Linked DNA regions of Pelodiscus sinensis. The protein of the gene in region 1 interacts with the protein of each later gene in a pairwise test. Links are inferred from orthologs where the notes say so. Each region holds a gene or a part of one and is shown in the gene's direction. Other genes may lie near its edges.

Region 1 (7,877 bases):
TTTACTCTCATTTTGGGTATTTCCTACAGTAAATTGTATAGTTATTTGCTCATTCATGTGGGTTTGGTTTTCGGGACCTTCATGTATGTTGATCAGTTTCACTCTGACATCATTGACAATGTTTTAGTCATGGTCTGACAGAGAAGGAAGAAGATTGTCTAGCCCTGGACAGTTCAAAGTTGAATGAAGAGTGGCTGCAAAAGACCAAGCCAGAAGTATGGAAGATGAACCCCCTCGTATCTGAACATCATGGTGGTGTAAATCAGTGTAGCTCCATCAAAGTCAATGGCACTATGTTGATTAACAGTCTGGCCAAACAGGATCTGTTTATTTAATGAACAGCCTGACATATTTCTCAGCTTTCTTCCTAATGTTGGTCTGGATATCAGCTTGATATCAGCTGCTAATAACCCACAGACTCTCTGGCCCTATAGCTTCAGTGCCCCTTTAAATGCTCCTAGTGCTGGTGACTGTTCGTTCATCATCTACATACCAAAAAAATGATCCTCCTGGTGATTCAACAAAGGAAAACATTGCTGGCTTGAGATCTTGGAAGTCTAGAAACCCTCTTTTTTTCTTTCTCTCTGAAGGAATTTCCTTTTTTTTTTTTCATTTCTGAGTTCTCTACCATTGAGGGCAGGAAGTTGTCTATCCATGATCAACAGTGACCAAATTTTGGTTTTCCGGGAATGTTCTTCCTTCCCGCTACACAAACTCCTGAGGTCTGTAATTTGCCTTTTTAGTCTGATAATGTGGCTGGCAGATGCATCAATTTTGCCAAGTCATCTTCTGGAAGGAACACTTTCTCTCTTATGCAATAGCCTTCATTTCCCCACCCTCCTGACTGCATTGACTCCAGCTTCAACATATTTCTAACAATCAGGCTGAGTTAGACTCACCCATGGGACAATAAGCAAACATGTGTGAGCCCATTATGTCTGGTATATGTCCTGAAGCTTTCAATTTCAAATGACATTGTCCAGAAAATGTAGGGACCAAGAACCCAGCACTGTGGTTTCCCTTTGCTTGGCTAAAGAAAATAACATATTTTTACTGAAAATGTGGGATTTAAGCCCTCTTCACTTTGTATACAAAAGACGCTTCCAACAATAAATGAATAGGGGGCAGGAGGGTCACCCTGGTTTGAATCCATCTGACTGGTCTAAAGAAATTGCTTTCATGGATTCTTCAAATATTTCATGCCCATGGAAAGTGCAGTGGAGGTGGATTTTTGGAATGTTATCTCACCTACTTGTATGCAGTGTGTGGCTTGAAAGCTTTTCTCTCTCCCCACCTGGTCCAATAAAAGATATTCCACAGTCAACCTGTGGAACTCCTTGCCAGAAGATGTTGTGAAGACCAGAACTTTAACAGGGCTCAAAAAAGAACTAGATAAATTCATGGAGGTTAGGTCCATCATTACTTATTAGTCAGGATGGGTAGGAATGGTAGCCCTAGCCTCTGTTTGTCAGGGGCTGGAAATGGATGACAGGAGAGGGATCACTTGATGATTCCCTATTCTGTGCGCTCCCTCTGGGGCATCTGGCATTGGCCACTGTCAGAAGACAGGATAGTGGGCTAGAGGGATCTTTGGTCTGATCCAGTATGGCCGTTCTTATGGTATTAAGTAACCCACCTTGTTTCTCTAATATCACCTACTGAAATTCCCCTTTTTCGTTTTAGGACTGGGATGGAATCAATATAATTCCACATACACTCACTGCTTTACTCCTTTGCTACATGGCAATAAGATTTTGTTTGTGTGTTGTGTAACACGTCATGTAATCAGGAACAAGATACTATTGTAGTTATGATGTTGGGATCATTAGAAATGGCACAGATAGATAGTGCTTGGTCCCATGTTCCTTGAAGTAAATGGAATTTTCAGTGCTAGTGTGCCTCATATCAGATCTGGTATGTACACGACCTTCATGTTTCTGGAGATGCAAAATGAAGCCTCTGATCAAAAAAGAATTTTTTATTTATCTTTTTCCTTTTCAGGGTCAATGTTCCTGAACAGGACAGATAAAGACTTTTGTCTTGTTTTGCTTATGCTCAAAAATAAACACATTTTTAAAACATGTTTTTTCTTACAGTCCCTATTTTTTGCAATGATTAAACATAGATTTTTATAAGGTCAAGAAAAAGTATAGGATGCCTCAAAGTGGTAGTGAATTCATCTGGGGGGAGAGAGAATAAACTCAAAGATCTGGTTGATCATTCAATCTCTAACTTCTTTGATCCTACATTCTTTTAAGATGATTAAGATGGAATGCTATACAACCAGCTGTCTAGGCGAATGCTCCTACAATGCCTTATAGTATACTAATCTAGTACCTGCTAATACTGATCACAGATTCCATCTTAGGTACATGACACTTCATCCAACATGTCCGTAATATCTATGTATTTAATTTCTCCTGGGCATGGTGACTTACACGCCTTTTTCCCAAGCCTCCCAGCTGACCCTTGGCCACCCCAGTCTGAATCCATGGGTCAGCTACCACTCCTCAGCACACCTAATGTGATTTTAGTACAGTAATACTGTGGGATAAACTCCTGCATGTAGCTCTTTGCAAAGCAGCATGGAAGAAGCATCTTCTCTGGAGACTTTTAATCCCAGAGTGGATAAAGCACTAAAATATAGAATAAGGAGCAAATGAATGGAGTAGATGATCTTGAAAGTATTTTCCACCACTAACCTCTATGATTATATGATTAATCACCCAGCTTCCAACTATTCCTACAGTTGCCATATTACAGCATTGTGGGAGTTACCAAATTCGTATGAGCTGGCCATTTCATTCTAACTCTCTCTTTTCATATTCAGAATTTTCTCAGAGTTTGACCTTTTGGGCTGAAATTTCTCATGCTCACTCTCAATCTCAACAACGATTTTAATTTGTTTTTATTCAAAAACTTGAAGAAATTCCATTCAGCTCTTTTTCTAATTCTGTAGTTGTGAAGGGAAAATATGTTTTACGTTTAAATGATGCAGTCTGACCTTCTTTTGAGCTTGGATAACTCAAAAGCAGCTTTAAGTCTTTGCACTTGACAGGCAAATAACCTGGAAAGCAGGCTCTAATCGGTGCTAAATTTGAAAAAAAATGGTTTTAAAAGAAGTTATGAACTTGTGAAAACCATGTGCTGAGCATACGCAGTGCTTTGAGTATGCAGAGGCATGTAGTAAAAGCTGTGAAAAAATAAATCTCTCATTGCTAACACTGGTACAGCTCCAACAGTGTTAGCAACATGAGGAATGTTGCTCCTCTTGTACACAAGCCAGGTGTTTATTAGTAGTAGTATTTGTATTGCAAGAGCGTCTAGAGATCCCAACAGAGAACAAGAGATAGTCCTGCCCTAAGGAGGCTCTAGTCTAAATAGGCAAGAGCTCAGGGTAGTTTTCAAAAGTTAAGAATGTATTCTTTCAAAACCATTATTACATGCTGTTAACACCAGTGGCTGCCGAAGCCTCATCTACACACGTTTCCAATGTTGCTGTCTCCAGGGCAGCTGCATTAGTATTAGCATTAATACTCGGATAGGTTTTGGAGGAAAAAGCCCAGTGCAGACATACTTTCAACAGACTCACATCTATCTGATTATTCTCATAGCTTCTAAGGGCTAGACAAAAAAAAAGACAAAGAAAAAAGTGGCAGAATTAACTATCAAAGAGACTGAAATAATAGATTAACAGAGCAGGCAACGGATCTGAGTTCCAGATTGTCCTGTTTTGAACATGAACCCCACGAGGAATAGTCATAGTGTGCTCACGAATCTTGGTTTTGATGCCGTAACTTGGTAACATTGGTGGTTGTACTCAAGATAGATGGATAATGTAGTAAAATGCAATGAATGCTAATGAAAAATAACAAAAACAAACCCCCTCCCCTCAAGTTATTTGCTCATCTGGGTTTCTGCAGTCCAGTCTCTTGCCTTTCTTTTGGGTTTTTGGACTGTACACTCTTCGACTCAGGGCAATGTGCAGTCATGCCTCGCGTACAGCCCGGCATGTTCTCTGAGGTAGTGTGACACGGATGGATTCCATGTGATGTGCTGTCACCTTGCACCACTGCCGCATGGCGATGTTTCCAGGTGATTGATGTCTTGAGGCAGGAAGACCAGCTATCCCCATGGCTTTGTCTTATTTAGGTGCCTAGTACCTCCCCTTCCCCCATACACCCAACCTGATTTTTCACACTTGCTGTCTGGTCACTCTGTCAGTGTTTCTCAACCTTTTTTTTATAAAGTACCCTCTATTTAAAAAAAATTATAAGTATCCCCAGTACCTACAGTTTTCAGACACAACAGTTTTTTCCCCAACATTTCTTTAAACAACGTAGCTGGGCAGGCAATGAAATTTATGGGTGTAAAAAGTACCAAAATAAAGTGCCGTAAAACTTAAAACAAAAATTCAGTTTTCTCCAAATTTCAGTTGTGTTGACGTACCCCCCCAGACTTCTCTCAGGTACCCCTCAGGGTACTGGTACCACTGGTTGAGAAACACTGCTCCAAGTCTTCCCCGGGCAGCAATGGGAGAGCTTGCATCCACTGGGTGGAATGAAAAATGAGCGTCCCTTACCACCGGCTGTGCAGTAGCAGCAGTGGCAAGAAGCCATGGAACCGGAGGGGATTTCGGGGGGCATGGGGAGGGGGCCATTGCTTGCGAAAAAGAAAACCGTGGGGGGGCGGATTTCACTTGCTTTGCAATCTGGAGCGGAGGGGCGGGCGACCGGCGCCCTGCTCCGAGGCGGCAGCCGCTTAGCCCACCATGGGACCCAGGGGGCTTGCACTGCAGCTCCTCTCCCTCCCCCCTCCCTCCCGCGAGCAGGGCCCCGCCCGTAGCCCCGCCCATTAACTTCCCGACGTTCTAAAAACTGTAACAGTGGATCCGGCGCTGTCAGTGCGGCGGGGAGCGTGGGGCAGAGCGGCCGGGAGGCAGCTGGCTGGGGTCGCTGTTGCTTGATCGCCCAGCCCCGCTCCCCGGCTGGGGGTGTCCCTCTCCCTGTCGCCAGCTCCCCTGCGCGCCCCCCCTTCCGTCCCTGCTCCGGCTGTCCCCGTTCTCGTGCCCTGACCCCCCAGGATCCAGACACATGGAGCTGCTGTGCGTGGAGGGGGCCCCCCGCGTGCCCAGGGCGGAGCGCGATCCCCAGCTGCTGGGGGACCGGCGGGTGCTGCAGAACCTGCTGAGCCAGGAGGAGCGCTATAGTCCCCGGGTCTCCTACTTCCATTGCGTGCAGAAGGAGATCAAGCCGTACATGCGGAAGATGCTGGCTTTTTGGATGCTGGAGGTACGGGACCCCCTCCCTCAATCCGGGTCCTGCCACCCCCTCCCTCCCGATCCATCCTGGAGTCCAACAGCAGCTCCTTTGCCTACCCTCCTTGGTCCCCACCGCAGATACAGGCTGCCCGGCTCGGGCAGGAGAGGGGCTATGCTTGCTGGGTGTGGGAGAGAGAGACCCACCCCAGTCTTGAGTGTAAACGGAGCAAAGGATTTAGTGGGGTCGCCTAGCGGTGGCGGCGGTAATGGAAGGAGGACAGTTGGGTTGGGAGAAGTGTTTTTTGGGTTTTTTAAGGTAGGGAAGTCACTTGGTTTGGGGAATCTGTATCAGTTGGGGGGGAGCTAATGGGGGGGCGGTTTGCAATGTCACTTGCTGCCGCGTGAGTTCCAAAGGAAACAATCTGATGGAGCGGGGGAGAGGCTGCTGGTTTGTGGGGCTCGGTCTGTGGTGGGAGGAGTCAATCTTTTGGGGGGGAGGAGGCAGAGGAAATAGTGGGATACGGGGGCATTTGAAAGACCCCCCCCAGGTGAAAGACCCCGGGTGCTTGGGTGGGGGCATGATTTCCACCTTTGCATATGCGGAATTGCAGCATTTCCTGCTGCACCGAGGGGGTAACACAACCTGCTCTCCTCCACACCCTGTTTTGCCTGTAGGGGTCCCTCCGGTTTTACCCCAGCCCGGAAACTGTCCGCTTCAAGGTCTCTGCCTTTCATCGGACAGTTGGGGGGGGGGGGGGGGAGTCCAATGCGGTGTGAGAGAAAGCCTGGGCAGAAAGATCCCAGCCTCCCACGCCGCTAAATTAAAAGGAATGCAATCCTGCGCACTGAACAACTCAAGGAGGAACATATCCCAGATGTCTCTCGCTTTTCATAAATGATCAAGCCCTGAATAGCCTAGATTGGGAGGAAAATGAGATTACACGAGGAAGAAATAGAATCTGGATTGAATTCAGTCTGAGGCTCTTTCCACTTCACTGGCTGTTGTGACATACTGCCTGGGTTTTTTTTTAATCACATGCCGATTCCAACTTTTTTAATTATCCTTTTTCTTAAGTGCACTTTCTGAGAGAGTTACTTGGCTAAAAGGTGTGTTGAGGCCTGATCCTGCAAAGCAGGGACCTCAGTAAAGTGGAAGGAGCCCATAGTAAAGTTGGAGGCGGTATCTTTGGGATTTCCCAATTTAATAGGATTTGCATTAGTAAGCCTAAACGTAGGTCCTATTGAAGTCAGTGGTACAACTTGCATTGACTTCAGAGGCAGCAGGATTTAGTTCTAAATGCTAATTTTTCATTTTTTATTTTGAATGAGGGTGAGAGGGAATGCAGCTAAACTTAAATCTGAAATGAGAAGTGAGTCTATTTTTTTTAAAAGGAAAAAGTCTCTGGCATGCGGTTTTATGTGGGTAGAGAGGACATTGGGAGGCAAAGTTACAGGGTGAAAGAGAAGGATGCCAGTTGCTATAGCACAAGGGGAAAATTCAATATTTTTCTGTTAAAACAAGGAAATATGGCTGTTCATTAAAAGCCTAGTGGCATGTATAGAAGGGGTTGACCTGCAGACTCCTGGGTTCTGTTTGTGCCTCTCATGAATGTGCCATAGACAGAGAAGGGGAGCCAGGAGTTTGAATGCAGTTGCTATCCTGGGCTCTGCCAGTGACTCTTTTTGTGATATTGGGCAAGTCACTTAGCCCAGAGTTTCCAAAAGTGGCAACTGATTCTTGGTGCCTCCTTTTTTGGGCCAGCTGAAGCTACATTGGGACTGGGTTGTTTTTTTTCAGAGGTGCTGAGCACCCCCATTTAAGGAGAGCAGAAAGTGATTGGCACATCTGGTAATTAAGACCTAAATCAGTGGGCCCTCTAGAAGATTTTGGTCTCTAACCTCTCTATTTTCCCTACTTCCCAGAGGAAAGGGAGGTGAACTGTAGCACATTGCATCAAATTCCCTGCGGGTGGTGGGCTGGAGTTACACCAATGGAGAATTTGTCTCTTAAACCTAAAAGGGCTTTGAGAGCACCAGACAAAAGGCTCCACACGTGCCAGAAACTATGGCAACTAGTAGTTTTGAAGTCCCGGTGCAGGCTGGGGCTGCCTTTAAAACCCTTCCTTTCCTCTGTTGGGTTCTGCCAGGTGTGTGAGGAGCAGAAGTGTGAAGAGGAGGTCTTCCCCTTGGCTATGAACTACGTGGATCGCTACCTGTCTTCAGTTCATACTCGAAAAAATCACTTGCAGCTCCTGGGGGCCGTCTGCATGCTCCTGGCTTCCAAGTTGCGAGAGACCATGCCCCTGACTGTGGAGAAACTCTGCATTTACACAGACAATTCCATCACACCAAAGCAGATCTTGGTAACCTCCCCACTCTGCCTGATACAGTCTCTCACCCACTCCCCAGCTCTCTTATCCTCTCTGTGCTGCTGCTTGGGGGCATAACTGCTTCTGACTTCCTTCCTCTGTTCTCCCAAGCACCTTCCCCCCCATGTTCCCCAAATAGCTTCCTTGCCCAACTGGACAAACTACCTTTTGGAAAGGTAGAACTGTCCGCCACACTTAGAGCCACCCTCTTGGCCAAGGTCCCAGGCAGCCCAGCTGTTATTCCCCAT
Region 2 (7,284 bases), on another chromosome or scaffold:
GACCCCATCCTCCCTCTCCCCTCCAGGTTCTCAGCCCCCTTCTTCCCTCCCACCTACAGGTTCTCAGCCCCCATCTCCCCAGTTTGTTTTATTGAAAGAAAAATGCAAAGTTCGTTTTGTTCAAATCAAAACAAGTGTGTTTATTGAGAGTAAAGGGAAGGGGGAAAGGGAGGAGTTGTGGGAAAGGGATAGTGGAGCAAAGCACAGGCACCTAGTGGGGAGGCCCTGGGGAGAGTTACTGAGGACCTTGAGAGAAACTCTCCTTCAGGGCCTCCAGATGCACGCCCCAAACTGATGGGCTTGGCAGATGGCAGCTGTCCATGGCTGCTCACAGGCCCTCCCTTTGTAGCTAGCCCCTGCTAGCCCCTGCCCCCCACCCATGTAAGAAGGCCTCCCCATTCTTCTCCACAATATTGTGGAGGACCCAATACACCGACACCATCCAGGGGATGTTGTGCTCCCCCACGTCCAGGCAGGTCAGGAGGCACCTGAACTGCTCCTTGAGGCAGCCGAAGGTGCACTCCACCTGCATGTGGGCCCAGTTGAGATGGGAATTAAATTGGTCCCTGCTGGGGTCCAGGAGGCCGGTATATGGCTTTATCAGCCATGGCATGAGGGGGTAGGCTGCGTCGCCCATGATGTACAGTGGCATCTTCACATCCCCAAACACAGAGTCACACCGGGGGAAGAATGTGCCAGCCTCCAGCTCCCCATAGAGGCTGGAGTTTCAGAACACATGGACGTTATGCACCCTGCCCGACCACCTGACAAAAATGTCCGCGAACTGTCCACGGTGGTCGAACTGGGCCTGCAGCACCATCAAAAAGTAGCCCTTCCTGTTGATGTATTGGGGCCGCTCGATGGCCTGGTGTTCGGATTGGGATGTGGGTTCCATCTATGGCTCCAGTGTGGTTGGGGAAACTCTGGGTAGCAAATCTTGTGACGATCAGGTCTAGGTCTCCCAGGCGAATGACCCTGCGCAGCAGAATGGCGTTGATGGCCCTCACAACCTGCAGAAGGAGACAAACAAACACACAAAACAGAGAATGAGAGCGGGAGTGCCTGAGCCCTTGGGAGGTGCCCGGCCCACTCCACTCCCCTCCCCTCCCCTCCTCAAACACCCCAGGAACCACCCCCTTTGAGACCTCCCCCCCAGCAGCAGGGCTATGTGAGTGCGGGATGGCACAACCTCCTGGGGAGGGGGCTTTCCCCCCACCCCCAGCCCTCCACCCCCCCTTCTCTAGGGTCCCCCTTTCAAGGATTCCCCCCACCCCCTGCAGGGACTGCAGCCCAAGAGTGCCTTACCTCCATGAGGAGGGCCCTGACGGTGGACTTCCCCATGCCGAACTGGTTGCCCACTGATGGGTAACTGTGTGGGGTGGCAAGCTTCCAGATGGCAATGGCGACTTGGTTTTCCAGGGGGATGGTGGGCTGCAGGTGAGTGTCACATCATTGGAGGGCAGGGGCCAGCCAGGCACACAGCTCCAAAAAGGTGGTCTTCTGCATGCGGAAGTTTTGGAGCCACTGCTGGTCGTCCCACTGCTCAATGACCAGGAGGTCCCACCAGTAAGAACTGGTGTCCGGCCTCCAAAACCGTCTCTCCACTGTGGGATGCGGTTGTAAGGGTCTTGCTCCCGCACACAGGGAGAGGGTCTCAAGGATGAGCTCGGTGTCGAGCTTGTGGAGGGCCATGAAGGCAGCCTGCACAAACTGCTTCAGAAACTGCAGCATGGCCGTGTGGGGCCATCAAGTGCCCAGACGCAGCTCTGGCTCCATGGCAAAACGAAAAATGCTGTGGCGTCCAAAAAGCTGGGCAACAAGAGCACGCACTGCTAAAGCTTTGCTGTCCCTCCGAGAGGTAGGCAGGCACGAAGCAGAAAAACAGCTGTCCAGGGGGGTCCCTTTAAGCATGTCTCTCAGCTAGGCTTCGGCAACAGCACTTGGAAGCAACTGCTGACCTAATGCCCTGCCTGAACTGGTTCCTGGTGGCCTTATATTTGAAATAGCATCCAGTCAGTGTTTTATCTTTCGAAAAAGCAGATCACTTTTTTGTTGCACTTTTGCTGTGAAGATCTCTTCCGGAAAAGCTTCTTTCAAAAGAAGCTCGCAGTCTAGACATAGCATGGGGGAAGAGCCGAGAGGAGGGGTGAGTGTTCCAGCTCTCTCCTGTGCTGGCACCAGTGTCTCACAGCAATCTCTGGGCTATTTATTGGTCGATGGTAGAAGGAGCCAGGGGACAAGGGCCATGGTGCAATTCTGGTGCCAGGGGAGCTGGTCTGAGCCAGACTGGGGAGATGACAGCATGGCTAGAATTGCTCTTCTCCCCCTGGCCTCTGAATACATCTTAGTGGGGGGGACGGGGACTAAGTGCAGGTGGGTTAGTTTCGTTGGAATAATTGGGGTCAGAGTACAGAGATCTCTGCCTGCCTGGTCCCCTGGCAACAACCAGAACTGACAAACTGCTTAACCTGCTCCTGAGGTTCCTGCAGAAGGGACATAATCCGATTCACTACACTAATCGGGCTGTCAGTGTACCCAAAGCCCGGTTCCCCTTCCCATTAGTGGAGGGAGTTTCTATAGCCCCCTCTTCCTGAGGGTCACACCAAAGATAACACTATCGGCCCTTTTGGGGAGAAGAAATGCAGTGAACTGGGCTAGGCTAGTGGATTGACTGCTGTTAAATTCCAGTTTCCTAAAAGACAGAACAACACAATCCACAGGTTTGCTGCATCTGCCTCTGGCTTTGACTCTCACATCCAGTGCCCCTGCCCCAAGAACCCAGCCCAGCCTGATCAGCAACTCAGAGACCTGGCAAACTCATACCAGTGCCCAGCAGGGTAGGGCCGTGCTGGAACTGCCCCTCAGTGCAGGGCACTCAGCACTCTGCTTGGAAAGGGCAGAGATGCTCATTAAGCAGGAATGGAGTGGGAAAATGACACATGATGAGAGGAGTCTGTTGGGGTCAGGACTTTGCCAGCACCAGTGGAGATATTAGTGAGGCCCCGCTCTGTGGCCAGGTACGTGTCCTGTGGCCAGATGTGTCTCTTGAGATCAGGATGATGAAGATGCAATGGTGCCATTGTGGATGCCAGGGTTCCAGGAGATGGGGGGCAGGGACAGGCAGGATAGACAAATTCCCTCCTTACAGACACACTCCTCTACCATTTCGATCCCCTCAAAGTCTTTTTTTATGGACCCACAAGGGAGAGCAGGTGGAACCACATAGTGCCTCAGTATTTTGCCCACAAATTGGGTCTAGTATCTGACACACCCTGACACCTCTCCCCATGCTGCTGAAGTGGACTGAGAACAATTTGCACTATCCATGCCCCTGCATCCTGGGACTAACGTTATCATATCGCAGGCTCAGCTAGACTTTTGTTCCCATGGACACGAGAGAGTCCACAGACCAGAACTAGCTTCCAGGTGGGGTGGGATGTGTGAGAGTGGATCATGCAGGCAAGCCCCAAAACTATTTCTGAGCCTGGTATTTGCCTGGAGACCCAACACCCTGCTTCAGGTCACAGGCTAGTTAGTGCTACGTGCCCAGCTCACCAGCCAGTCACCCAGCCTTCATCTCACATGGGGGCTCTGCTGGTGGGTGCTTGCCCCCCAGCGCCCACCTGGCCAGGAGCACAAAGCAGGGAAGTCCATGGCAGTGCAGCAGGGCAAGGCCACTAAACTGGCTAGTATACCCTGCTCCCCACTTGGCTGGAGACTATGGCAGCATCGAACCTGATTCCTCCAGAGCCAGAAGGCAGACCATGGGTGCTGGAGTTTGATGGGTTGGAGGACCCTGGCTCCCAGCGGTGGAGCTGGATGCTACAGAGTCAGTATGGGGGACACGGGCTGCCCTGGAAAGGTGCTGGGGATACTAAAAGCTCGCGGGGGGGGGGGGGGGGGTCCTAGCACCAGACACAAACGCGGTCCCAGGTTACTCTCTGATTTCATCTGTCACAGCACCTATCACGGGGCCAGTTTTCCCGAAGCCAATCGCTACCCCGCTCGCGGCGGCTCTGCAGCCAACCAGAGGCGAGCCCAGCCCCTCCTTCTGTTCACAGCTGATGCAACTCTGCTGCAATCGATCCAGTCACCGCCCGCAAAATAGGTCCCTCGCTCCCGCCCGGAGCACGGCATGGGGTGACGGGGGGCGGAGCCGCGCATCTCCGGGGCACAGCAAGGGGGCGGGCTGGATTGGGGGTGGGGGCTGATGGGCGCACGACCCCGTTGGCGGGGCGGAGGAACACGAGGTGTGGTGCGGCCCGGGAGGGGGGAGGGAATATAGAGAGCGGCCCCTCCCTGTCCCCTTTACTCCGTCTCTCTCCGCACACACAGACACAGCACTCGAGCGTAGCGCACCATGGCTCTCTAGCACAGCCAGACGCTGACTCGCGTGCGCCGCGCCGCGCCGCCACCCACGCCGCCACCATGGAGTGAGTGCTGCGTCCCCGGGCTGCGCTCGCTGACCCCGCCATGCCGGGGCCTCCCTATGCGGGGGACCCCTGGGGGGACGAGGCGCGCACAGGCATCGCGGGGGGACCTCGACCGGGGTGGGGCGCGCAGGGACCCCGACACGGGGATGGCGTGCAGGCGCCGCCGCGGTTGGCGCGTAGGGGCCCCTTGCGGGGGGGAGCGGCATGCACCAGCTGCCGCGGTGGGCGCGCAGGAACCCCCCTGCGGGGCGGAGTGACATGCATCAGCTGCCGCGGTGGGCGCGCAGGAACCCCCCTGCGGGGCGGAGTGACATGCATCAGCTGCCGCGGTGGGCGCGCAGGAACCCCTCTGCGGGGCGGAGTGACATGCATCAGCTGCCGCGGTGGGCGCGCAGGAACCCCCTTGCAGGGGGGAGTGGCATACAAGGACCCCTTGCAGGGAGAGGAGGAGACGTTCTGCACCAGCCGCTGCGGTCACGCAGGGACCCTAGCAAGCGGATGGCGTGCAGTCACACAGCCCCCGGGGTGGGACCTCGGCGGGAAGGCACACTGTTGCATGGCTAATTCCCTTATGGCCTCTGAGCTCTTCCCCTAGTTGGGGCGGCGCTGCCGGGATCACGTTGCAGCCCTGAAGGCGCATCTCCATGATCTCCTGAGCCGCGAGTAAAGAGGGCCAGGCGGGTCTTAGTCCTGCTGGCAGCTCGGGGCCTGTGTGAAGCCATGTGGTTTGAGTGGAGGGAAGAGGCACAGGGTTGTCCCCTCATTGAGTGGTGCTGTACCAGATGGGTGAAGGAATGGACCTCTCCCCCTTGCCTGCAGCCCTGCTCATCTTCTCTTCTCTCTTACAGGTCTTCCTGCTCTGCCCCCATCTCACCTGCCACCCTTGCCAGCAGGAACTGTGCTCCCCACCTGCCATACTCTGGCCCCTTTTCCCATCGGGCTGTGGCCTGCCTGAGCCCACACCTGCCCCACCATGTCAATGCTGGCAGCTTTGACCCTGGACATGGAGAAGACCCTGCTCCCAGCTAGCACCCTCTCCTGGAGGGCCGAGTTCCTTAAGATCCCCGGCCACTATGAGCCCCTGGCAGGGGCCACGGATGGGCACTATGCCCATGGCACAGAGGCAATGGTGTTGGCAGGTACAGTTCTGGCAGGAGAGGGAATACTGGGGGGGGGGAGGGGGGAGAACAGATGGGGGGGATACCTGGTTGGGCTGCTTACAGGAAGTATTTTGACTGCCTCAGAAGGGCATCAGAACCCTCCCCCTTATGCCAGGCTGGGAGACCCCTGCCTTCCCTGGTGATTATGATGGGGTTGCTGAAGGGTTAGGATGTTTGCTCAGAGGGCACTGGGCTCCCAGCCAAGGCCAGGTCAGAGAAGGCAAGTTGTAAATAAAGCTACTTTAGGCCATGTCTTAAAGGGCTTGGCTGGGCCACATACCTGCCTTGCAGTCCTTCCTTCTCCAGCCCAGCTGCAGGTGGATCTCCTGGAGTGGGGGGAGGGCTCTGCACTGCTCTTTTCCTGTCACGGCTCCCCCATGCAGCCTGTGAACCTGCTCTCTCCACACAGGCGATGGCTTCTCAGACTGGATGACGGAGAGGGTGGACTTCTCCTCTCTCCTGATGGAGTCGGGGGACCCATCGCTGCCCTCACCCCCACTGCCTGACCTGGAGGCCATGGCTTCCCTCCTGAAGAAGGAGCTGGAGCAGATGGAAGACTACTTTCTAGAGGAGTCACTGTCCCCAGGTCTGGGCCTGGACCAGGTGGCCCCCAGCACACCACCTTCACACCAACCTGCATTCCACTTCCCTTTTGGAGATGGTAGTGGGCCAGCAGGGTCCTTCCCACCCTTTGGCTCTGACAGCCCCACACCACTGCAGACCCTCGATTCAGGCTGCCTTGAGCTCCTCAACCTGTATGGTACTGGGGTGCCTAGTGGGGAGTGCCCTGGCCAGGGCCGGCTGGAGGAGTATATTGGTAGCCCACCAGCTGCCAAGCGCAGCAGGCCAAACCCCTTGGAGCAGTCAGCAGTCCTGCCCCAGCAAAAGGGGGACCGTAAGCAAAAGAAGCGGGATCAGAACAAGACAGCAGCACTACGGTACCGGCAGCGGAAGCGGGCTGAGTATGAGGCACTAGATGATGAGTGCCAGGGTTTGGAGGCCAGGAATCGTGAGCTTAAAGAGAAGGCAGACTCTATTGAGCGTGAGATCCAGTATGTCAAAGACCTGCTCATTGAGGTCTACAAGGCCAGGAGCCAGAGGCTCCGTGCTAGCTAGCTTGAGCAGGGAGAGGGCCACCTAGTCTAGACTCCACCCCAGATCCAGAGTAGGGCACTGGGTCTGAGGGGGAGGGACTCTGACAGATGTGGATCTTAAGATCTGGGCTCCAGACTCAGCACAACACCCCCTAATGCAGTAGAAGCAGGGTACTGGGGACAATGAGCTAGACAATGCTCTGAGTGGGTCAGAGAAGCAGTGGCTGGGCAGAGGAAAGGTTGTGACAGGAGAGGGAGACCAGGGTGCTAGGTGATGTTCTGGAGAATGGACATGCCTCTAGGGAGGGATGTTGGGGAAGGGGACAAGAGTGGAACAAAGGCAGGAGAAGGGTGTAGCTATGGCACAGCAGGGGTGTGTAAAAGGTAGTGGGGAGGTGCTGGGTGAAGTGAAAGTGCATGTGGGACAGAGGCAGAGCCATATAAACTTTTTTATAGATGTGTCCTGTAGCTTCCTTTATAATGCATAAAAGCAAATAAAGGCTAATTCCTACATTCAGGCTGCGCAATGTGTTTTCTGGTACACCTTCTTTCCCCTGAGTTAGGTCTCCAATTGCACTCACCTCTCAGGGCCATAGA
Region 3 (7,864 bases), on another chromosome or scaffold:
GTTTGGCTGGGGAGTGTTGGGGGGGGTCAGGGCCTGGCGGAGGGGTGTCAGGGGGGTCAGGGCCTGGCGGGAGGGTGTCGGGGGGGGCTCAGGGCCTGGCTGGGGGGGGTGTCGGGGGGTCAGGGCCTGGCTGGGGGGTGTCAGGGGGGGTCAGGGCCTGGCGGGAGGGTGTCGGGGGGGGGCCCAGGGCCTGGCTGGGGGATGTCGGGGGGGGTCAGGGTTTGGCGGGGGTGTCGGGGGGGGCTCAGGGCCTGGCGGGGGGGTGTCGGGGGGGTCAGGGCCTGGCTCGGGGGGTGTTGGGGGGGTCAGGGATTGGCGGGGGTGTCGGGGGGGCTCAGGGCCTGGCTCGGGGGGTGTCGGGGGGGTCAGGGTTTGGTGGGGGGTGTCGGGGGGGTCAGGGCCTGGCTGGGGGGTGTCGGGGGGGTCAGGGTTTGGCTGAGGGGGTGTCGGGGGGGTCAGGGTTTGGCGGGGGGTGTCGGGGGGGGTCAGGGCCTGGCTGGGGGGGTGTCGGGGGGGTCAGGGCCTGGCTGGGGCGTGTCGGGGGGGGTCAGGGCCTGGCTGAGGGGGTGTCGGGGGGGGTCAGGGTTTGGCGGGGGGTGTCGGGGGGGCTCAGGGCCTGGCTGGGGGGTGTCGGGGGGGGTCAGGGCCTGGCTGGGGGGGTGTCGGGGGGGGTCAGGGTCTGGCTGAGGGAGTGTCGGGGGGTCAGGGTTTGGCGGGAGTGTCGGGGGGGCTCAGGGCCTGGTTGGGGGGCGTCGGGGGGGTCAGGGTCTGGCTGACGGGGTGTCGGGGGGCTCAGGGCCTGGCTGGGGGGGTTGTCGGGGGGGTCAGGGCCTGGCTGAGGGGGTGTCGGGGGGGAGGTCAGGGCCTGGCTGGGGGAGGTGTCGGGGGGGGGGCTCAGGGCCTGGCGGGGGGGTGTCGGGGGGGGTTCAGGGCCTGGCTGGGGGGGTGTCGGGGGGGGCTCAGGGCCTGGCGGGGGGTGTCGGGGGGGTCAGGGTTTGGCAGGGGGTGTCGGGGGGGGTCAGGGCCTGGCTGAGGGGGTGTCGGGGGGGTCAGGGTTTGGCAGGGGGTGTCGGGGGGGGTCAGGGCCTGGCTGAGGGGGTGTCGGGGGGGGTCAGGGCCTGGCTGAGGGGGTGTCGGGGGGGTCAGGGCCTGGCGGGGGTGTCGGGGGGGGCTCAGGGCCTGGCTGGGGGGGTGTCGGGGGGGCTCAGGGCCTGGCTGGGGGGGTGTTGGGGGGGTCAGGGTTTGGCTGGGGGATGTCGGGGGGGGGGCTCAGGGCCTGCCTGGGGCATTGTCGGGGGGATCAGGGCCTGGCTAGGGCATTGTCGGGGGGGGGGGTCAGGGTTTGGCTGGGGAGTGTTGGGGGGGGTCAGGGCCTGGCGGAGGGGTGTCGGGGGGGTCAGGGCCTGGCTGGGGGGTGTCGGGGGGGGTCAGGGCCTGGCGGGAGGGTGTCGGGGGGGGCTCAGGGCCTGGCTGGGGGATGTCGGGGGGGGGTCAGGGTTTGGCGGGGGGTGTCGGGGGGGCTCAGGGCCTGGCGGGGGGTGTCGGGGGGGTCAGGGCCTGGCTCGGGGGGTGTTGGGGGGGTCAGGGTTTGGAGGGGGCGTCGGGGGGGCTCAGGGCCTGGCTCTGGGGTGTCGGGGGGGTCAGGGCCTGGCTGGGGGGTGTCGGGGGGGGTTAGGGTTTGGCTGAGGGGGTGTCGGGGGGGGTCAGGGTTTGGCGGGGGGTGTCGGGGGGGGTCAGGGCCTGGCTGGGGGGGTGTCGGGGGGTCAGGGCCTGGCTGGGGGCGTGTCGGGGGGGGTCAGGGTCTGGCTGAGGGGGTGTCGGGGGGGGTCAGGGTTTGGCGGGGGCTGTCGGGGGGGCTCAGGGCCTGGCTGGGGGGTGTCGGGGGGGTCAGGGTCTGGCTGAGGGAGTGTCGGGGGGGTCAGGGTTTGGCGGGGGTGTCGGGGGGGCTCAGGGCCTGGCTGGGGGGCGTCGGGGGGGTCAGGGTCTGGCTGAGGGGTGTCGGGGGCTCAGGGCCTGGCTGGGGGGTGTCGGGGGGGGTCAGGGCCTGGCTGGGGGGGTGTCGGGGGGGGGTCAGGGCCTGGCTGGGGGAGGTGTTGGGGGGGGGCTCAGGGCCTGGCTGGGGGGGTGTCGGGGGGGTTCAGGGCCTGGCTGGGGGGGTCTCGGGGGGGGGCTCAGGGCCTGGCGGGGGTGTGTCGGGGGGGTCAGGGTTTGGCGGGGGGTGTCGGGGGGGTCAGGGCCTGGCTGAGGGGGTGTCGGGGGGCTCAGGGCCTGGCTGGGGGGTGTCGGGGGGGGTCAGGGCCTGGCTGGGGGGGGTGTCGGGGGGGGCTCAGGGCCTGGCTGAGGGGTGTCGGGGGGGTCAGGGCCTGGCTGAGGGGTTGTCGGGGGGGTCAGGGCCTGGCTGGGGGGGTGTCGGGGGGGGCTCAGGGCCTGGCTGAGGGGTGTCGGGGGGGGTCAGGGCCTGGCTCGGAGGGTGTCGGGGGGGGGGTCAGGGCCTGGCTGGGGGGGTGTCGGGGGGGGGCTCAGGGTCTGGCTGGGGGGGTGTCGGGGGGGGGCTCAGGGCCTGGCTGGGGGGTGTCGGGGGGGGGCTCAGGGCCTGGCTGAGGGGTGTCGGGGGGGGGCTCAGGGTCTGGCTGGGGGGGTGTCGGGGGGGTCAGGGCCTGGCTGAGGGGGTGTCGGGGGGGGCTCAGGGCCTGGCTGGGGGGGTGTCGGGGGGGGTCAGGGCCTGGCTGGGGGGGTGTCGGGGGGGGGGCTCAGGGTCTGGCTGGGGGGGGTGTCGGGGGGTCAGGGTCTGGCTGGGGGGGTGTCGGGGGGGGCTCAGGGCCTGGCTGAGGGGGTGTCGGGGGGGGGTCAGGGCCTGGCTGAGGGGGTGTCGGGGGGCTCAGGGCCTGGCTGGGGGGGTGTCGGGGGGGGGGTCAGGGCCTGGCTGAGGGGTGTCGGGGGGGTCAGGGCCTGGCTGGGGGGTGTCGGGGGGGGCTCAGGGCCTGGCTGAGGGGGTGTCGGGGGGGGGTCAGGCCTGGCTGAGGGGGGTGTCGGGGGGCTCAGGGCCTGGCTGGGGGGGTGTCGGGGGGGGGTCAGGGCCTGGCTGAGGGGGTGTCGGGGGGCTCAGGGCCTGGCTGGGGGGGTGTCGGGGGGGGTCAGGGCCTGGCTGGGGGGGTGTCGGGGGGGTCAGGGCCTGGCTGAGGGGGTGTCGGGGGGCTCAGGGCCTGGCTGGGGGGGTGTCGGGGGGGGGTCAGGGCCTGGCTGAGGGGGTGTCGGGGGGCTCAGGGCCTGGCTGGGGGGGTGTCGGGGGGGGGGTCAGGGCCTGGCTGAGGGGGTGTCGGGGGGCTCAGGGCCTGGCTGGGGGGGTGTCGGGGGGGGTCAGGGCCTGGCTGGAGGGGTGTCGGGGGGGGGGTCAGGGCCTGGCTGGGGGGGTGTCGGGGGCTCAGGGCCTGGCTGGGGGGGTGTCGGGGGGGCCAGGGCCTGGCTGGGGGGTGTCGGGGGGGCCAGGGCCTGGCTGGGGGGGTGTCGGGGGGGTCAGGGCCTGGCTGAGGGGGTGTCGGGGGGGGTCAGGGCCTGGCTGGGGGGGTGTCGGGGGGGGGGGTCAGGGCCTGGCTGAGGGGGTGTCGGGGGGCTCAGGGCCTGGCTGGGGGGGTGTCGGGGGGGGGTCAGGGCCTGGCTGGGGGGGTGTCGGGGGGGGTCAGGGCCTGGCTGGGGGGGTGTCGGGGGGGTCAGGGCCTGGCTGAGGGGTGTCGGGGGGCTCAGGGCCTGGCTGGGGGGGTGTCGGGGGGGTCAGGGCCTGGCTGGGGGGGTGTCGGGGGGGGGGTCAGGGCCTGGCTGAGGGGGTGTCGGGGGGCTCAGGGCCTGGCTGGGGGGGTGTCGGGGGGGGGGTCAGGGCCTGGCTGAGGGGGTGTCGGGGGGCTCAGGGCCTGGCTGAGGGGGTGTCGGGGGGCTCAGGGCCTGGCTGGGGGGGTGTCGGGGGGGGGTCAGGGCCTGGCTCGGGGGGTGTCGGGGGGGCTCAGGGCCTGGCTGGAGGGGTGTCGGGGGGGGGGGTCAGGGCCTGGCAGGGGGGGGTGTCGGGGGGGGTCAGGGCGTGGCTGGGGGGGTGTCGGGGGGGGCTCAGGGCCTGGCTGAGGGGGTGTCGGGGGGGGTCAGGGCCTGGCTGGGGGGGTGTCGGGGGAGGGGGCTCAGGGCCTGGCTGGGGGGGTGTCGGGGGGGGGCTCAGGGTCTGGCTGGGGGGGTGTCGGGGGGGGGGTCAGGGCCTGGCTGGGGGGCTGTCGGGGGGGGGCTCAGGGTCTGGCTGGGGGGGCGTCGGGGGGGTCAGGGCCTGGCTGAGGGGGTGTCGGGGGGGGCCTCAGGGCCTGGCTCGGGGGGTGTCGGGGGGGGGCTCAGGGTCTGGCTGGGGGGGCGTCGGGGGGGTCAGGGCCTGGCTGAGGGGGTGTCGGGGGGGGCTCAGGGCCTGGCTCGGGGGGTGTCTGGGGGGCTCAGGGCCTGGCTGGGGGGGTGTCGGGGGGTCAGGGTCTGGCTGGGGGGGTGTCGGGGGGGTCAGGGCCTGGCTGGGGGGGTGTCGGGGGGGGGGTCAGGGCCTGGCTGGGGGGGTGTCGGGGGGGTCAGGGTCTGGCTGGGGGGTGTCGGGGGGGGGGTCAGGGCCTGGCTGAGGGGGTGTCGGGGGGGGGGTCAGGGCCTGGCTGGGGGGGTGTCGGGGGGGGCTCAGGGCCTGGCTCGGGGGGTGTCGGGGGGGCTCAGGGCCTGGCGGGGGGCAGGGCTGTGGGCGGGGTTTGGGAGAGGGGCGTGTCCCCGCGCGGGCATGGGGGCGTGGCCAGGGAATATAGGGCGGGGCCAGGCGCGGATCCGGGCGCGTGGCCGGCTTTGGCGCGCACCCTCTCTCCCATCATGCCTCGGGAAGGCCCGCGCCGGAAGCGGAAGTCGACGGCGTCCCGCCCCCCCGTGCCGCTGGCCCCGCCCCCCCGCACCATGGCGCTGTTCGAGCAGATGCGGGCGAACGTGGGGAAGCTGCTGAAGGGAATCGACCGGTGAGGGGGGGCGGGGCCGGGGGCAGAGACCGGCCGGGGGGGGGGGGGGCTGGAGGCAGGGGCAGGCCGGGGGGGGAGGCAGGGGCAGGCCGGGGGGGGGGGCTGGAGGCAGGGGCAGGCCGGGGGGGGGGGCCAGAGACCGGCCGGGTGGGGGGGCTGGAGGCAGGGCCAGGGCGGGGCCGGGGGGGGCTGGAGGCAGGGCCAGGCTGGGGCCCTGGGGTGGGGGGCCAGGCCCGGGGGGGGGGCCAGAGGCAGGGCCAGGCTGGGGCCCTGGGGTGGGGGGCCAGGCCCGGGGGGGGGGGCCAGGGGCAGGGCCAGGCTGGGGCCCTGGGGTGGGGGGCCAGGGGCCGGGCCAGGCTGGGGGGGGCCGGGGCCCTGGGGTGGGGGCCAGGCCCGGGGGGGGGGGCCAGGGGCAGGACCAGGCTGGGGGGGGCGGGGCCCTGGGGTGGGGGGCCAGGCCCGGGGGGGGGGGCCAGGGGCAGGGCCAGGCCCGGGGGGGGGGGCCAGGGGCAGGGCCAGGCTGGGGGGGGGCGGGGCCCTGGGGTGGGGGGCCAGGCCCGGGGGGGGGGCCAGGGGCAGGGCCAGGCTGGGGGGGGCGGGGCCCTGGGGTGGGGGGCCAGGCCCGGGGGGGGGGGCCAGGGGCAGGGCCAGGCTGGGGGGGGCGGGGCCCTGGGGTGGGGGGCCAGGCCCGGGGGGGGGGGCCAGGGGCAGGGCCAGGCTGGGGGGGGGGCCGGGGCCCGGGGGGGGGGGCCAGGGGCAGGGCCAGGCTGGGGGGGGCGGGGCCCTGGGGTGGGGGGCCAGGCCCGGGGGGGGGGCCAGGGGCAGGGCCAGGCTGGGGGGGGGCGGGGCCGGGCTCGCCGCTGAGGGTCTCTCCCCGCTGCAGGTACAACCCCGAGAACCTGGCCACGCTGGAGCGCTACGTGGAGACTCAGGCCAAGGAAAGTGCCTACGACCTGGAGGCCAACCTGGCCGTGCTCAAGCTGTGAGTGGGCGCCGGGCGCGGCCTGAGGGGGGCTGGGCGCGGTGTGTGGGTCAGTGGGGGGGCAGGGCCTATGGGGTGCTGGGCGCGGTGTGCATGGTGCTAACCCAGGGTCTGGTGGGTGCCGGGTGCAGTGTGTGGGTCGGCAGGGGGGCAGGGCCTGAGGGGTGCCGGGCACGGTGTGCATGGTGCTAACCCAGGGTCTGGTGGGTGCCGGGTGTGGTGTGTGGGTCGGCAGGGGGGCAGGGCCTATGGGGTGCTGGGCGCGGTGTGCATGGTGCTAACCCAGGGTCTGGTGGGTGCCAGGTGTGGTGTGTGGGTCGGCAGGGGGGCAGGGCCTATGGGGTGCTGGGCGCGGTGTGCATGGTGCTAACCCAGGGTCTGGTGGGTGCCGGGTGTGGTGTGTGGGTCGGCGGGGGGGCAGGGCCTATGGGGTGCTGGGCGCGGTGTGCATGGTGCTAACCCAGGGTCTGGTGGGTGCCGGGTGCAGTGTGTGGGTCGGCAGGGGCGCAGGGCCTGAGGGGTGCCGGGCGCGGTGTGCATGGTGCTAACGCAGGGTCTGGTGGGTGCCGGGTGTGGTGTGTGGGTCGGCGGGGGGGCAGGGCCTATGGGGTGCTGGGCGCGGTTTGCATGGTGCTAACCCAGGGTCTGGTGGGTGCCAGGTGTGGTGTGTGGGTCGGCAGGGGGGCAGGGCCTGAGGGGTGCCGGGCGCGGTGTGCATGGTGCTAACCCAGGGTCTGGTGGGTGCCGGGTGTGGTGTGTGGGTCGGCGGGGGGGCAGGGCCTATGGGGTGCTGGGCGCGGTGTGCATGGTGCTAACCCAGGGTCTGGTGGGTGCCAGGTGTGGTGTGTGGGTCGGCAGGGGGGCAGGGCCTATGGGGTGCTGGGCGCGGTGTGCATGGTGCTAACCCAGGGTCTGGTGGGTGCCAGGTGTGGTGTGTGGGTCGGCAGGGGGGCAGGGCCTATGGGGTGCCGGGCGCGGTGTGCATGGTGCTAACCCAGGGTCTGGTGGGTGCCGGGTGTGGTGTGTGGGTCGGCGGGGGGGGCAGGGCCTGAGGGGTGCCGGGCGCGGTGTGCATGGTGCTAACCCAGGGTCTGGTGGGTGCCGGGTGTGGTGTGTGGGTCGGCAGGGGGGCAGGGCCTATGGGGTGCCGGGCGCGGTGTGCATGGTGCTAACCCAGGGTCTGGTGGGTGCCGGGTGTGGTGTGTGGGTCGGCGGGGGGGGCAGGGCCTGAGGGGTGCCGGGCGCGGTGTGCATGGTGCTAACCCAGGGTCTGGTGGGTGCCGGGTGTGGTGTGTGGGTCGGCGGGGGGCAAGGCCTATGGGGTGCTGGGCGCAGTGTGCATGGTGCTAACCCAGGGTCTGGTGGGTGCCGGGTGTGGTGTGTGGGTCGGCGGGGGGCAGGGCCTATGGGGTGCTGGGTGCGGTGTGCATGGTGCTAACCCAGGGTCTGGTGGGTGCCGGGTGTGGTGTGTGGGTCGGCGGGGGGCAGGGCCTATGGGGTGCTGGGCGCGGTGTGCATGGTGCTAACCCAGGGTCTGGTGGGTGCCGGCTGCCAACTCTCCATGCTCTGCGCCAGGTACCAGTTCAACCCTGCTTTCTTCCAAACCGCCGTCACGGCTCAGATCCTGCTCAAAGCGCTGACCAACCTCCCTCACACAGACTTCACCCTCTGCAAGTGCATGATCGACCAGGCTCACGTATCCTTCTGGCACGCCCCTCTCGCGCCCAGCGGCCTGTCCAGCTGTCCTCCGGGCTCTCGGCAGTGATGGGGTGCACGCCCAGCAGCCCCCCGTTCCCCCAGGGCGCCGCCCCACCGACAATCCTGAGCCAGCAGTGGCGTCCGGTGGTGTGCCCAGGGAGCTCCTTGGGCTGGC
Region 4 (7,064 bases), on another chromosome or scaffold:
AATGCCAGCACTGGCGTTGTTCACATTCAGAAGCCCTGCTGCTTCAAGGATGACTTTTCTAAGGGGCTCTGCTAATGAGATACAGCCGGGGCAGGCAAGGAAGCTGTATTTTATAGTGTGGTGGCAGCCAGCTCAGGGCCCCTTCGTGCTGGGAGCTGCGCAGACTCAAACCCAAACGAGTTTGCAGCCTCTTGGTCCCCTTTCCCAGGTGGGAATACTGAGGCCGAGGGAAGTGACTTGCCAGAGGGGCACAGAGGAAATCAGCAACAGTGCTAGAAACAGGAGGGGGATCTCCAGAGGCACCAGGCCAGGATCTCTCCCACATGCCCACCCCTCCACCTCGTTACATTGGCTTGGATGGAAAAACTTGATAACTCTGCCCTGTAGAAAAGCAAACCAGGAGGGACTTTTCCCTCGAGAGATGGAGGGTGTGGGTCTGGGTTGGGGGGTGGGGTAGTCCCCTGTCTTACTCCAAATCCAAGAGAGCGATTTTTTCTTTCTCTCAAGATATGCTCCCCTCCCCCATCCCCTCACTTTGTAATCTTGACACTGTCCCTTTAAGAATCCCCCAACCCGTTCTCCCACAGGCAGGCCCCCAGCTCCTTGGCTTCCAGCCTGCCCTAGGACTATTCTGTTCACCGCCACTAGGAGGCGCTATTGCTTCACTAGAGATCACAACAGCTCCCCCTCCCCCCTTTCCCCACCTGGTCTGGAGGAAAAACTCCTCTCAGGGTCTGTCTACATTGCACAGGGCCCTGGCTCCGGTTTGACCTGAAGCCCTGTTTCGGTCCACACACAAATCAGGCTGAGTCTGGTCAGCGAGCACACAGGGGACCCTGCTAGCAGGGGAGGGTGAGAGCCGGAGTCCCCTGGCAGCCCTGTCCTTTTGCAGAGCAGAGTTGCAGTGCGGACGGACACTCGCCCACAGGGTTGGAGACACGGAGCCGACAGGCCCGGCGCCGTCAGTGCTGGGTTCGCAGTGCCGTGTAGCTGCTCCCTGTGGGCATGTCTACACAGCAGCGTTCTTTCGGAATAACCGATGTTATTCTGAAGGGCGCGTCTACACAGCAAGCCGCTTCTTTCAAAATAAATTCGAAAGAACGGGTGTCTTACTCCGACTCCTGTAAACCTCAGTGTGCGAGGCGGAAGGGGAGTCAGAGGTGGGATGGGGAAGAGGGCTCTATTTCGAAATGAGTGCTGTGTAGATGTGCCCAAATTCGAAATAAGCTATTTCGACTTAAGCGACACAATTAGCATAGCTCAAGTGCGTAGCTTATTTCGAGTTTAGCCCTGCTGTGTACACGTGCCCTTAGTCTTCTCTGCTTTGCTCGCAGTCTGGCTCCCAGGGGCTCCTGCCAGCAGGTGTCACGGGGATGCGGTCAGGAGAGGTGTTTAAGAGATGCTGCCACCGATGCTGACTGTATGGATAGGGGGTGGGAATGGCCATAGTCCAATGCAGCAAGGACTGCTTTACAGAAGTCCCTCGGGGCTTCAGCTGAAATCAGGAAGACCCCACTGCAGTGCTTGGATGGCCAATCAGGAGAGATTCCTGTGCCGTCCAGCTGATTAGCAGAGCACTGACTGCCGGCAGCATGTGGTTCTACTGGTGGTGCACATCTGCACATGCTTTGGTGCACAAAACAAAATGTATTCTGCACACGAGTGGAAAAAATTAGAGGGAACATTGTCCCCACCGTGTTAGGTACTGTACATACTGGCAGCAGAGATCCAGATCAGCCCTGAAGATCTACAGTCCCTAGAGACAGAAGATTATTGTCCCATTTACAGCTGGGGAGCAGCACGAGAATCTAAGTGACTTGCCCAAGTCACCCACGATGGCTGTGGTAGAGAACATAAGAACAGCCAGACTGGGTCAGACCAAAGGTCCATCCAGCCCAGTCTCCTGTCTGCCAACAGTGGCCAATACCAGATACCCCCGAGGGAGGGAACACAACAGGTAATCCTCACGTGATCCCTCTCCTGTCACCCATTTACAGACAAACAGGCTAGGGACACCATCCTGGCTACTAGCCATTGATGGACCTACCTCCATGAATCTATGTAGCTCTTTTTTGAACACTATTAAAGTCCTAGTCTTCACCACATCCTCTGGCAAGGAGTTCCACAGGTTGACTGTGCGCTGAGTGAAGAAAAACTTCCTTTTATTTGTTTTAAACCTGCCACCTATTAATTTAATTTGGTGACCCCTAGTTCTTATATTCACTGTTTCCACACCTGTCATGATTTTCTAGACCTCTATCCTATCCCCCCCTTAGACTCTTCTTTTCTAAGCTGAAAAGTCCTAGGCTTTTTATTGAACGCTTAGTCTGCTGAGTGCCAGGTAAGGGCCTGCCCACAAAGCTGCCCTACCTCTGTCAGAAGAAGCGGAATGCTGGCTCCATTGAAGTCAATAATAAAACGTTGAAGGGGTTCACTGGCAAGAGATGGTTTTGCCCCTAGAGTTGCCGTGTGCTGGTATGTAGCAGCTGGATGGGGGTAGAACTGGGGTATTAGTTGTGATGGGCCTGAACCCAAACCCCAGATCCTCATGTCATGGCTTTTTAAATCCAACCCAGGTTTTGCAGGTGGCCTGTATCGTTTTAAGCATCAGAGCCAAAAAACCTGGGACCCAACCCCCCTGGGACTCTGGGGAGTTTTGGAATGTGGATCTGGACTTCCAGACCTGGCTCCAGCTTCCATATTGATTTTTGCAGCACCTTGTCTGGGGGCTGTGTATGTGTGGGGAGATTTGGCTTGGATCCTAATACTCCCACAGATCTGGGGCAGGCTGGGGGTATGGCTTGGTCAGAACCTCTCTGGGTTCAGACCCTTGCAACTATCAGCCAATTGGATTCAGGAGCTGAGCAGAGTCAGAGAGTTAAGAAGGAAAGTCTTGTTGCTGGGAGTCACAAACAATGGGTTCGATTCACAGCTCTGCTACTGATCTTTGGAGTGGCCTTGGGCATGTCCTTTCCAGTCCCCTCCTTCTTGCCTCAGTTTCCTTACCAATACAATGATTCTTTGTTCAGCCCTTGGATGAGAAGTGCTATATAGGAACTACGAGGAACCCTGTGGCACCGTAAAAGCTAACAGATTTATTTGGGCGTAAGCTTTCTTGGGCAAAAACTCACTTCGTCAGGAGGGTTGTTCCCCACCAGAGGTGATGCCCTAATAAATCTGTCAGTCTTTGAGGTACCATGGAGCTCCTTGTTGTTTTTGCAGATACAGACTAACACGGTGACCAGCATTCCCTAAAAGCAGGGCACTTCTATGGCCGCTCAGGAAAAATTCCAGTGCTGCCCAGCTGATTAGCAGAGCGCCCATCACTGGGTGTTTTTCTAACAGTGGTGCACATTGACACATGCCTCGGTGCACATAACAAAATTTATTCTGCACACGGATGGAAAAGATTAAACGGAACATTGACGGTGGCACCTTTGCTATAGGAATGAGGTACTGATATTATCCCATCTCATCCTGCCCTCCTGGTCTGTCCTGATTGTTTCCTACAGGCCAGATTCTGCTGTCAGTTAAATTGACCTAAATCTGGAATAGCTCCCAATGCGAGTGGAGTGACTCCGGATTGACACCGCCAAACACACGAACACATTCCTTTTGCCCTGTTGCCAGAGGAGTCATTGTCCCAGTCAGAGTGGTGGCGTCACGCCCGCATTTCCACGGATTTCAATCCAGACTATCTCCTTCAGCGGTCATGGAATTGTTCCTGGGTGGGGGAGCTCTGTGACCGATGGAATCTGGCCCCAGAAAGGAGATGGGGGCGGGATGGGAGCACATGCCCCAGGCCTGGGGTGAAAATGGAGACACAGTCCTGACTGCTGGGTGGCTGGGAAGGCAGAGACTTTGCAAACCAGGCAGCTGGGCTGCTGTTTAAGACACCCACACTGGTTTTTCTCCTCTGGGTGGGGGGTGGGGGATCAGTCGCTACCCTCCCCCCCCCCCAGGCAGGTGAGACTGGAGACACACTTCTCCCCTCCCCGAGGCCAGGGGGAGGGACTAGCCAGGGAGCTGACACATAAAGGGAGAAAGCGCTGGAGAGCAGAGGGAGCAGGGCCAGTCACTCAGCAGAGGGAGCGCAGGGCATGCGGGTTGGGAAGCCGGGCGAACCAGCCAGAGGGAAGGGGCGTGAGGCTCGGGGGGAGCGAAGGCGCCAGGGGCTAGTAAGTGACTCGCCAGGGCTAGGAGCCGCGTGGTGCCTTTCTCGGCTGCTCTGCCTCCTTCCCCTCCGAGATGCCCAACTTCTCCGGCAACTGGAAGATGAAGCACTCGGAGAATTTCGAGGAGCTGCTGAAAGTTTTGGGTGAGTCGGGGGCGCTTTGTTCCCCCCCCCCCCCATCCCTCCTGGCCTGGGGAGCGCCAGCTCGAGCCGGGGGGAGGTTGAGAAATAGCCGATGACTCAGTGTGGGACAAGCCAGCTGCTTAAAACGACCCCGGCGTCGGCATCATCGGGGGAGGTTTGCCTCCTGAGTCATCCCACGGCTGTCTCCTTGGGCGCCCTGAAACTGACCCGCCGGGGCCGCCTTCTCCGCTTCCGAGCGCCGGCCTGAATCCGGAGTCACTCCGCTGCCGGCTGAGCTCGGTAGAATGCCTCCGGGCTGAGGCGGGTGCGCCTCAGATCGGGAGTACCTCTGTTGGGTTGCCACCAGCCGTTCCGCCCCTTTGTGAAATTGCTCCGGATTGACCCTAATTGGGGTAAATCCACTGCCTATACCTGCAGCCTCTGGATTTACAGGGGGAGGGGGGAAACTGAGGCCAGCAATCCAGCCCTGAGATCGTACAGAGTGTGGTTTACTTCCCCGGGATTTTTCCACTCCCGGGATGGTGTCAATCTGGAATTACTTTAGGGGAGCGGCTCTGAATTTACTGGGGAAGGGGGGAAGCAAAGGAGTTCAGGATCTGGCCCGTGGTGGTGCAGAAGGCGCCTGTTGTTGGGTTATGCTGAGCCTGATTCTCCCTACCCACTGGTGTGGATCAGGAGGGGCCCCTGAAAACCCACTGGTGGATGAGTGGAGGAATTGGCTGCAGTAGCCAGTGAAGGGGGGACCAAGCTGCCTGATGGGAGCAGGGAATTTTCCCCCTTTTTGCTTCACCCCCTTTTCCCTGGTTCTGTCCTTTTGCTTCCCTTGCCAGTGCCCTTCCCTGCCCGACCAAGCCCCCGCTCCTGTCTGATCTACAAGGCAGTGGATCCTTGCTGACAAGCAGCAGGAGATGGCTAGGTTAGGACTGACCCTGGATGTGGTAGCTATGATCCGCTTTGCAGATCCTCCCGTTGGGATGCAGAGCAGAGCCCCTGGTAGTTGAATCGGGATTCTCCCACATGGGAGGCAGAGCCTGGAGGTTCCCTCTGGCCGTTTGCTGCCAGGCCTGGGCATAGGATGCCCCAGGAGTGCAGCCTCAGCTCTGATCCTGTCTGCCCGGTGCATCCCGCCAGGGCTGTGGTGGGAGGGATCTGGGACTTTCCAACTAGCCCCACATATCTTCAGAGGCAGGGATTAAAAAGCTGAGTGGGGTGACGTGTGCGGGAGCGAAGCACACACAAGGGAGAGAGGCAGGATGGGCTCTGTGAGGAGCTCAGCCTGTGCTTTGGGAGCTGTGGCTCTGTGCCTCAGTTTCCCCATCAAACAACACAACTCCCTGGAGGAGGGTGTGAGGCAAAAGGAGTTGGTTCTTCAATTCTACAGGGTGGGGTGGGGTAAAAATAGCCTGTGAAGCCACAGGGAAGGAGGGGGTGGTCATGTGGCCCGGTCTGGATCCAGCATTCAGGGGTCTGCTGGGGTCTGGAATGGCTCTTTAGCCCCCTTGTCATCTCTGTGAAGATTCAGTTGCTCTGCCCCAAGCCCCTCTAAAGTCTGGGGGCTCCATGGGAATGGGAGGGGGGAAGTGGGCTGCCCCCATCACACGCCCCTGGCCCCCATAGACAATACTCTCCCTTGCTTGTTGGGTGTTCCAGACTCAGTCTTGAAGCTCAGAAGGGACCACCATGATCCTGTGGTCTGACCTGCACATCACTGGCCACCGAACCTCCCCACCCGCCCAGGGAGTGGGGGAGGGTTGCTGGGACTGTGTGTGTGTGTGTGTGTGTGATCGGGGACACCCTGCCACATGCGGCAGGCAGGTAGGCAGAGCATCTGCAACAAACAAGCAGGAGCCAGCGTGAAAACCCCTTTCGATAATGATCTATAATCCTCCTCCAAACACACCCACACCAAAAAAGGGCTCCCTAATCCATTACAGACGTGGTGAGACCGGCTTGAATTACTGACAATGCTCAGCCCTTCTCCTCCACGGGTCTCCCCCTGCCTGACAACAGCACCGGAGTAGGGTTATCCTTATTTTACAGATGGGGAAACCGAGGCCCAGATGGTGGGGTGGGGGCAGCAGCTCGCCTAACGGCCACGCTGCTCGTCAGAAACCACGGCAGGAAGAAAACGTAGTCCTCCCGCCGCCCGCTCTATGTCCTTTCCCAGAGCCAGGAGAAGAACTTAGGAATCTGGTACCCACCTCTCTGTTCAGATTGCTGCTCCATGCTGCTTCCCACACCACCAGGGCTTAGTCTGTGCCAGGACTGAGTCCCTGGCCCCTCTGAGCCTGGAGGTTCAGAGCCCCCGGGCCCTCTGCGCTTGGCGGCGTGTGTCCCCCGTCGATTGCATCCCTCCTTCCCTGCCCATCAGGCCGAGCACTGCTTGGCCCTGCCACCCGCTGGGGTATTTACGGACTGGCTGTAGCTCTTGGCTTGATGCAATTTGGGAGCCAGCGTGTGCCCTGCTGAGCTGCTGCAGGTCTTGCTGGGACTAACCTCAGAGCAACCAGCGGGAGCCTCCCCCTGTGGTGTTCTGTCCTGCCCTGGCCCTGGCGCAGTATGGGGCAAAGGGGGGGGGGGTGCAAAGGGAGGAGGGGGCTTGTCCTCTCTCCCTCCTGGCTTTTTCTTGCAAACAAGATGGAAGACACAACGATGTGCACTGCTGCTGGGCGCTGGGGGCTGGATTTCAGGGGGGATACCTCATTTGCCCCCCCATCCTGAGCTGTGCATTTGGGGGTGGGTTGGG

The links.
Region 2: the proteins of CCND3 (region 1) and ATF5 interact in a two-hybrid assay, tested with the Homo sapiens proteins (2 studies listed by BioGRID and IntAct). The link is inferred for Pelodiscus sinensis from reciprocal best matches to the Homo sapiens genes CCND3 and ATF5.
Region 3: the proteins of CCND3 (region 1) and EIF3K interact in a two-hybrid assay, tested with the Homo sapiens proteins (2 studies listed by BioGRID and IntAct). The link is inferred for Pelodiscus sinensis from reciprocal best matches to the Homo sapiens genes CCND3 and EIF3K.
Region 4: the proteins of CCND3 (region 1) and CRABP2 interact in binary tests that used the Homo sapiens proteins (3 or more experiments, as listed by UniProt). The link is inferred for Pelodiscus sinensis from reciprocal best matches to the Homo sapiens genes CCND3 and CRABP2.

Annotation. Positions count from the first base shown.
Region 1 is NC_134737.1:9,469,777-9,477,653, forward strand, and holds the start of CCND3 (G1/S-specific cyclin-D3), read left to right. Parts: upstream 1-4,872; 5' UTR 4,873-5,093; coding exon 5,094-5,291; intron 5,292-7,407; coding exon 7,408-7,623; intron 7,624-7,877. UniProt on the Homo sapiens protein: Regulatory component of the cyclin D3-CDK4 (DC) complex that phosphorylates and inhibits members of the retinoblastoma (RB) protein family including RB1 and regulates the cell-cycle during G(1)/S transition.
Region 2 is NC_134743.1:2,614,093-2,621,376, forward strand, and holds ATF5 (cyclic AMP-dependent transcription factor ATF-5), read left to right. Parts: upstream 1-4,275; 5' UTR 4,276-4,433; intron 4,434-5,281; 5' UTR 5,282-5,406; coding exon 5,407-5,572; intron 5,573-6,002; coding exon 6,003-6,709; 3' UTR 6,710-7,204; downstream 7,205-7,284.
Region 3 is NW_027465946.1:1,752-9,615, forward strand, and holds the start of EIF3K (eukaryotic translation initiation factor 3 subunit K), read left to right. Parts: upstream 1-4,851; 5' UTR 4,852-4,869; coding exon 4,870-5,009; intron 5,010-5,892; coding exon 5,893-5,991; intron 5,992-7,566; coding exon 7,567-7,687; intron 7,688-7,864. UniProt on the Homo sapiens protein: Component of the eukaryotic translation initiation factor 3 (eIF-3) complex, which is required for several steps in the initiation of protein synthesis.
Region 4 is NC_134734.1:17,810,097-17,817,160, reverse strand, and holds the start of CRABP2 (cellular retinoic acid-binding protein 2), read left to right. Parts: upstream 1-4,049; 5' UTR 4,050-4,248; coding exon 4,249-4,318; intron 4,319-7,064. UniProt on the Homo sapiens protein: Transports retinoic acid to the nucleus. Regulates the access of retinoic acid to the nuclear retinoic acid receptors.